Linked DNA regions of Ovis aries. The protein of the gene in region 1 purifies or fractionates together with the protein of each later gene. This does not show direct contact. Links are inferred from orthologs where the notes say so. Each region holds a gene or a part of one and is shown in the gene's direction. Other genes may lie near its edges.

Region 1 (3,805 bases):
ATATTGGAGAATAAGCTACATGAGTTTTATAACAATCCCAGTTTGTGCATTTAAAATTTTTTAAACTTTGGTGAAACACACATAACAAAATTTCCCATCTTAACCATGTTTAATGTATAGTTCAGGGGTGTTAAGTGTAAAAAGGCTTGCAGAACTGCCACTTAGTACCCACTAAACAACAGCTCCCCTGCAACTACCATCCTGCTTTCAGTCTCCATGAACCTGAGCTCTAGGCGCCTTGTACAGTTGGAATCATGGAGTTAGTAATCTTTTTGACTTGCTTATTTCATTTAGCATACTGTCATCAACCTTCACCCACGTGTCAGAATTTCCTTCCTTTCTAAGGCTGAATAGCATTCCGCTCTATGTATCTACCGCATTTTGTTTATCCATTCATCCATCAGTGGACATTAAGGTTGCTTCCACCTTTTGGCCATTATGAATAATGCTGCCTAGATCATGGTGTACAAATTCCTCTTCACCACCTTGCTTTCTGTAATTTGTACCTTTGAAGGAACGAGCCTGGAAGAATTTAGTATCCCATAGCATTGCGTATTTTACCATTTAGAAGAAGTCAGGTGCAACCCTAATTTCACCAGGCAATCTCTTTTGCAGCTTCTTAGTGTGTTGACTTTTCAAGGGCTTCTTGTGCTGTTCTTCAGCCATAGGATGAGTGCTTTGAGAATTGCCATTAACTAGAAAGTGGTGGCAGTGTAGCTTTATCTCAGTGATTGAGACACTGATCAAAGACAGAACTGTCAGTAACTTGGTATCTTACTTAAAACTGCTATTGCAGTTTCCCGTTACGTGGGGCTTGAGGTCCCACCCCATACTTCCCCAGGCCAAGAAACCGCATGGTCTTGGGGTGAAGTCTGAGGTTTGGGGGCAGTGTGCTCCACCACTGAGTGCCTTCTCACTGGCAAAGGCCTATAAATAACATCCGGGATCCTGTTTCAAAGTCAGGAAAGGGGCAAGGGCTAGCAACAACAACAAGGGCTGAGGGGGTTGCTGAAATAATTTCATGAACAAATTGATCAAAGAAATGATCTGTGAATGCATCTTGGAGAAGGGAGAACCAGCCAGCCGTGAGGACAGATAAAACTCCTCCCCTGCAAAACCGGCATGTCTTTCATGCCCTTCATTGTCTGCAGGCATGTCTGAGCCCTAGTTTAGCCCATTTGGCATTCAGAGAGCTAAGTCGGCTACACTCTCAGCTCAGAGATGACTTGAGGGTGCTGAAGTGTTTGCATTCCACCCTCCTGCAAGGAGGAAAGGGAATCTAGTTCAAGAACCAAAGCAAAGCTTACTCATCTCGTCTCATCCTTTCAGACCCGGAGATGGAGTCCTCCACCGCCCCCTAGACACAGGGTCTTCCAGCGTGAAATGCACAGAAATCAAATGCATATCCATTACAGGAGAAATGGCAGGGAGGCAGGGCTAGAGTGACAGATTCTAAAGAGCAAACATATACCTTTGTGCTCTGTCTTCTTAAGATTCATCCTCTCACCTGCCAGCCTTGAGAACTGCCTATTTACATAACTAGCTGCCTAAAATGGAATATTAGATAATGTTCTATGGCAGCCCATCCCTGGGACATGAGTGATCCAGGAGTCCTCTGACAGCACGGAGCATGGCCCGCTGGCCCACAGCCCTGCCTCCATGTACTGTGAGCCTGTCAGCACTCCGAGCTGAGCAGATGTCAGGCCCGGTCGCCCGGGTGGGAGACTAGCCGAGCAGCGGGGGAGGGGGCGTGATTCAGCACGCGGCTCCATGGCACACTGTCTTCAGGGACAGACTGTACTGCTTCTTGAGCTTCACAGCAGGCACCCTGTTCTGCCCAAGGTGCTGTCTTGGAGACTGCTGACAAAGGGGACTGAGGAATGGGGGAGCGACAGGATCTATGGGGACAACTGATCCAGGAGGTAATCAGTCAGCACTGATGCCATCCCTGGCACCATGCCAACTTCACATCGCTGTCAGTCTTTTCTGAGGCATGCATCTCTCTCCCATCAAAACTGGAATCCTGCTGCTCGCTTATAGGAGGAGTATAAATAAGTGATAAGGAAGTGTCCTGATAACGATAAGCAGGGATATCTTCTCAGCAGACCAGATGTATCAAAGAAGGCAATTGTGTGTGTGTTTGTTCATTTATTTTTCAGTGTTCCGGTTCCCGTAGTCAGTTTAGAGAAAATTCCTAACCTAGTGAAGGCAGATGGTGCCAATGTCAAAATGAACTCTACAGCCACTCCTGCGGTCCCCTCCTGCTCCACCTCATCCTCTGCCGTCTCCACCCCACCTGTCATTAAGCCGGTCTTGATGTCCAAGTCAGTGCCACCTTCCCCAGAGAAGATCTTAAATGGCAAAGGAATTTTGTCTACCACCATAGACAAGAAACACCAAAACGGCACCAAAAACAACAACAAGCCTTACAGGAGACTTTCAGGTACGTGTCTGTGTTCTTTGAGTCTGGCTCATGATCAGACTACAGCTGAGTTGCGTCCAGAACTAGGGAGTGATGTGATCTTATAATTGAACAGGTCTGTTTCATTTTAAGGGGAACACGGAGTTTACCTACAAACAGGAACTCCCATCTCAAAATGCAGGGGAGAACTGATTCTCTTAATCCCGGGCTAGATTGATGATGGCTGGGCTGAGTTAGCTCAGCACTTAGTAGGAGTTATCCTGGTTTTCCCAAGGCAGGGAGCTCTGCACCCCCACAGCACTCTGTGGATTCGGAGGGCTTTGTCCTTGCTCTGACAGGATAAATCGCCCCTAGATTCTGAAAAGTCTCAGGGCTGCAGACTTGGACAGCCCACTGTGATATCTCCCGGTAGCTCAGGGCAGGCTTGGGGCAGTCGCATTGGTGCTGACTGCCCATCTCCATCCTTTGGTCTCACTGGTTTCCGGGTTCATTCTGTGGTCTGGGGCTACAGATCCCTTTCCCACATAAGCAGACTGGAATTCCCACTTGGGAACACTTAGACTGGCATAGCAGATGGATGCTGAGGGGTCTCTCTGCAATCTACTTGGTTGTCAGAGTAGGCACTCTGGAGGTACCCAGAAAGGTGCACATGGCCAGTCCTTAAGTCAGTGGTTGGCCCTTGGGTCCCCCAAGTGGATGGTATTTGCTTTGGGTTTGTTGTGAAAGGAAATCTGGCAGTTTTACTTTCTCCAAAAGATCAAGAAAAGCTATAAATTTTATAACTTCTTCACACACCCTGGCCATTTATTAGTTGTTAACCAGAAGAAAGAAAAATATAGTTGACCCTTGAGCAAGGCAGGGATTAGGGGTGCCAGCCCTCCATGCAGTTGAAAATCCCCATATGATTTCTAGCAGGTCTTCTGTGTATGTGGTTCCTCTGTATTCACAGGTTCAACCAACCTCCAGTCGTGTAGTACTGCAGTATATACTACTGAAAAATATCCATGCACAGTCCAAACCCAAGTTATTCAAGGGTCCACCATACAGAGAAAACTGCCCTGTGAGAGAGAAGCTGTGTCCCCTGGCATGAACATAATTCCTAAGTGCCCCCAAGAATTGTGGGTCATTTTTATTTTTTACTTTGTATTTATCCGTATTTCAGGTTTTCTTTTATGTCTGTAACTTTTAAAAAGTTTAGGTCTGAAAAGTACCTTGCGCCCAAAGCATTCAAATGACACAGTTATATTACCCTGAAAATCTCTCCATGCCCTGTTCACCCACTGTCCCACAAGAAAGGCAGAGCCTGGCACTGTCTTTGAGGGTGGGGGCCTCTCTGTGTGGACAGAGCCCCTTGCACCCAGCTCTCTTCCTGCAGAGAAAGGT
Region 2 (4,291 bases), on another chromosome or scaffold:
GCGCGCGGGCGGGGTGAGGTGAGGAGGAGGAGGCGGCGACGGGACGAGAAGGGAGGGGAAGGGGCCATGGCCGCCCGGTGAGGCGGCGAGGCGGGGGGGCGGCCCGACCCCCCGGCCCCGGGCCCTGGGCCCCGGGGAGAGGCGAGGACGGACCGACGGACATGGGGCTCCGGAGCAGCCGCCGCCGCCGCCGCCGCCGGAGGACGCGGCCCTGAGAGGCCGCCGGGCCCCGGCGCGGCCCCCCGGGCGGGGTGAGTACGGGACGGAGACGGGGACGGGGGAGGGGCCTGTGGGGGGCGGGGGGCGGGGCCCGAGGCGGGGCTTGGGCCCCCTCCCCCCAGGTCTGGGTCAGCGCCCCTTCCCCTCCCCCAGGGCCGACGCGGAAACGCCCGGCTTCCCCCGGCTTCCCGGCCCGGCCGGGGCCCCCAGCTCTCCCCCTGTCTGGGTCCCCCCTGGGCGGGGCAGGGCCGGCCGGGGAGGGGGCGCGGGGCCTTTGTTAGGGAGCCAGGCCCCAGCCCCCGGGACAATAGAGACACCCTCCCGGACTCCTCTCCCCGGCCGGCCGGGGCTGTCGGCGGGCGGGGAAGAAGAGGGGCCGGGACGTGTCCCACTCTGCCCACTCTCTAGGGGTCGGTCTGTCCCGGAGCGGCGCCGGCCTCCGGCGGCTCGGCTCTCCTCCCCCCAGTCGGTATGATGCGGCAGCAGTGCCGCAGGGACGGGGGAAGAGCCGAGGCCCGGCCTCCTACCCTCCCCAGTGCCCCCGGCTCATTTGTCAGTCCCCACCCCACTCTAGGCCGGCAGCTCCTTAAACTCGTACCCACCGTTCAGAGGGGCCCCGGACTGTGTGCTCTGTTTCTGAATCCTTTGGTGGGGATTCCTGGACTTTGGGGCTCTTGGAGAGACTTCCGGGCTGGTCCTGAGGGAGGGAGGGTGGTTATCTCAAAGAAGAACAGGTAAGGGGAGTGCCCACTCCTGGCATGCCATCCCACCGGATTCTACCTCCTTTTTCTTGCTCATGGTGGCTAGGATGGCCTTTTAGCTCTAGGTTTCTGTGGGCTCTGCTCTCCGTCTGTAGTGGCAGGCTTATTTCAAGGGAAGACAGAGTGGGGTGAAGGTTGTAGGGTCCTAGGGCCATTGCTACTTCTGGTAGCAGTACCCCCCCAAGTGGACATCCTGGCTGAAAGCAGAGGTGACTCTGAGGAGAGCCTGGGGAGGGGGGGGAGTGTATTTAGGAGTCTGTGCAGTTCTTTGCCACACCCTGTGGGTTTGCTTTGAGGCCTTAGAGTTCCTTCTCCTCCCCCTGCTGCATTGCACCATGGGTATGGAAGAGGGGTTTGAGTTTTGGGAACCTGGGGTGAGCTGCCGCCTCCTGTAAACCCAGACTCTGATTGGCAGTAAGAGTCCAGGGCCTGAGTTCAGGCCTGGGAAGGACTAGGCCGCCCTTGGGTTTCAGGCCCTGCAGGACCATCCAGACTTAACCGAGGCCTTAGGGAGAGGTAGATCTTGATGCCACCATTAAGCTCTGGGCAGCGAGGTGGGGAGGGGAGGTGGCAGCCATCGGAGGTGCCTTGGACTCACACCAACATCCCCCCCACATGTGTGCAGCCGTGTTGCCGCCCGCTGTGCTATGAGCAGTCAGAGCACCGTCTCCACAAGAGTTCACAAATGAAAATGGAGGAAATGTCTTTGTCTGGCCTGGATAACAGCAAACTAGAGGTGAGGGCTCCCCCACGTGTGCCTCCAGTTCTTTCTCTTGATGTCTGTCCTTCGCTATATCTGGAATCCACACCAGAGAGGAATTTGGGTAGTCAGCCTTGTTCCTTAAAGGGAAGAGCCAGCTAAGAAGGCCCAAGGATCCGGAAGAAGAAAGAACTCAAAATCAAGATGGGAAAAAATGGCAAAGGAAGCTTTATTTTTGGCCAGGGCGAATTGGCAGGAGATTTGGTTGGTGAGAGTTGCCCTCAGTCCATGGGACTGTGACTCTGGTGACCCTGGATGTTCTCCCCTGGGCCCAGGCCATCGCTCAGGAGATATACGCGGACCTGGTTGAGGATTCTTGTTTGGGATTCTGCTTTGAGGTACACCGGGCTGTCAAGTGTGGCTACTTCTTCCTGGACGACACGGACCCTGAGAGCATGAAGGATTTTGGTGAGCGTCAGGGTTGAAGGAGAGCAGCCTAGCCCTTCCCTGGGAGTGCTTGGAGGGTCCTTCTCCAGCAACCACACCAGAGGTAGAACCTAGAGCTCCTGGGAGCTTAGGCAGGGGCTCTGAAGAGGCCACAGGGCCATGGGTGGGAACGAGAGGTAAGGGCCCCTTGCCTGCCCTGATCGCTACGTCTCTCCTGTCCCCAGAGATCGTGGACCAGCCGGGTTTGGACATCTTTGGACAGGTTTTCAACCAGTGGAAGAGCAAGGAGTGTGTTTGCCCCAATTGCAGCCGAAGCATTGCCGCCTCCCGTTTTGCTCCCCACCTGGAGAAGTGCCTAGGAATGGGTCGGAACAGCAGCCGAATCGCCAACCGCCGGTGAGGGCTTCTTCTGCTAGAACCAGAGTGCCCATCTTTTGCAGCCCATCCCATGGTGGAGTTCCCCACCACCCCCTGGGACATTTGGAGGGTATAGAGGGTGGGTCGCGCCTGGCCCCAGATGCTCCCCTCTACGTGTGAAGTCGGGCAGAGAGAGATGGCAGCCTTGACCCTTCCTCTTCCCTCCCCTCGGCAGGATTGCCAATAGCAACAACATGAACAAGTCAGAGAGTGACCAAGAGGATAATGATGACATCAATGACAACGACTGGTCCTATGGCTCAGAGAAGAAAGGTGTTTGGGCATCTGGGGAATTGGGAGGGCCATCGGGGTGAGGCAGGCAGGCAGGAATTGAGTGTGTAACAGTCACAAGTTGTTATCCCTAATGAGGGAGGAGAGTGTAGCTTTGTAACTTTTCTTTAGGTGCTCTTAGATTGGGAACTTAAAGTGACCCTGCCCTTTACCCTTTTGTCCTACACAGCCAAGAAGAGAAAATCAGACAAGGTAAGAGCCGGGGCAAGCATGAGGGAGATTTGGGCCAAGGACAGATACCCTCCCCTTTGGGCAGGGAGTCCTCGGGTGTCTTGACTCAAGTCTGAGGTCACTGGGTACCTCTCTGGGTTCAGGGCCGAGGGTGTCTGGTGGGCAGGAGGGCAGCAGAGGCCTGGGGGGTAGGTGGGAGGAGGGAGTATGGGTGAAAGGCCTCTTACTGGTGGGAAAGAGTAGAAATTTGAGGATGTTTGTCAAATCTTTTTTCCTTCCCTGGGTTCTCGGCTCCCCCTTATCGTTACCCTTTCCCCAAAGCTATGGTATCTCCCATTCCAGAACCCCAATTCCCCTCGAAGATCCAAGTCTTTAAAACACAAAAATGGTAAGTGGGGTGGAACAATGGGAGTGATTCTAACTATGTCTTCTGGGACTTGTTGCTGGAGGGTGGAGGTGGAGGGGCAGGGGAATCGAGGGAGGGCCTGTGATCCTTCTATCACCCCCACTTCCTCTCTGGTTATTTTCAGGGTTCTCTGTCTGTACCTCTGCATCAAACACCCTTCCCCTTCTTTTTTCTTCTTCAGGGGAACTTAGCAATTCGGATCCTTTTAAGGTGAGTAGGGGCTATCCCTCGTAGGTTCCCTCTCAGTATTTGCCTCGTTGTGAGTCGGGTGGGCTTGGACAAGTCGGGGTCAGAACGCTAACTAGATGGGTGTCTCGGTCTTGGGTATTCATGTTCTTTGTGGGTCCTAATTCGTTACCCTGGTGCAGTTGGGGTGGAAGGAACTGTTGGAGAACTGCGGGCAACCTTAAGGCCTTAGTGCTGAGGGAGGGACGAGAGGGACTGACTCCACACCCCCACCCTCCCTTCTTTGGCCGTCCCTCCTCTAACTTGTACCTCTGGTTCTCACCCAGTATAACAACTCAACTGGGATCAGCTACGAGACCCTGGGGCCAGAGGAGCTGCGCAGCCTGCTCACCACGGTGAGGGATCAGAGAAGCGGGGAAGCCCTTGGGAGCAGGCAGAGCCACAGGCAGTGGTCGAGGCCCTGGAAGAGGCTGGTGCACAGCAGTGAGGGCATCTAGGTCTCTCTCTTGAGTTTGGTTTCCTGGCTAGTGTGGTCTGGGACCGTCTGCCATGGACGCCCTGGGGCCATTTCTGAGCGCACAGTCTAGCATTTGTACAGAAGAGAGTGTCTAGTGGCTATAGAACAGGCTTCCCCCGTCCCTCCTTTCAGCTTATATTCCTCTTCCAGCAATGTGGGGTGATTTCTGAACACAC

Evidence for each region.
Region 2: the proteins of ATXN7L1 (region 1) and ATXN7L3 purify together in Homo sapiens (affinity purification with mass spectrometry; 5 studies listed by BioGRID and IntAct, counting the BioPlex papers as one, with this or other methods). This does not show direct contact. The link is inferred for Ovis aries from reciprocal best matches to the Homo sapiens genes ATXN7L1 and ATXN7L3.

What each region holds. Positions count from the first base shown.
Region 1 is NC_056057.1:48,237,446-48,241,250, reverse strand, and holds part of ATXN7L1 (ataxin-7-like protein 1), read left to right. Parts: intron 1-2,159; coding exon 2,160-2,443; intron 2,444-3,805.
Region 2 is NC_056064.1:43,750,499-43,754,789, reverse strand, and holds the start of ATXN7L3 (ataxin-7-like protein 3), read left to right. Parts: upstream 1-1,254; 5' UTR 1,255-1,506; coding exon 1,507-1,716; intron 1,717-2,015; coding exon 2,016-2,148; intron 2,149-2,351; coding exon 2,352-2,523; intron 2,524-2,719; coding exon 2,720-2,817; intron 2,818-3,004; coding exon 3,005-3,027; intron 3,028-3,327; coding exon 3,328-3,394; intron 3,395-3,536; coding exon 3,537-3,622; intron 3,623-3,924; coding exon 3,925-3,993; intron 3,994-4,265; coding exon 4,266-4,291. UniProt on the Homo sapiens protein: Component of the transcription regulatory histone acetylation (HAT) complex SAGA, a multiprotein complex that activates transcription by remodeling chromatin and mediating histone acetylation and deubiquitination.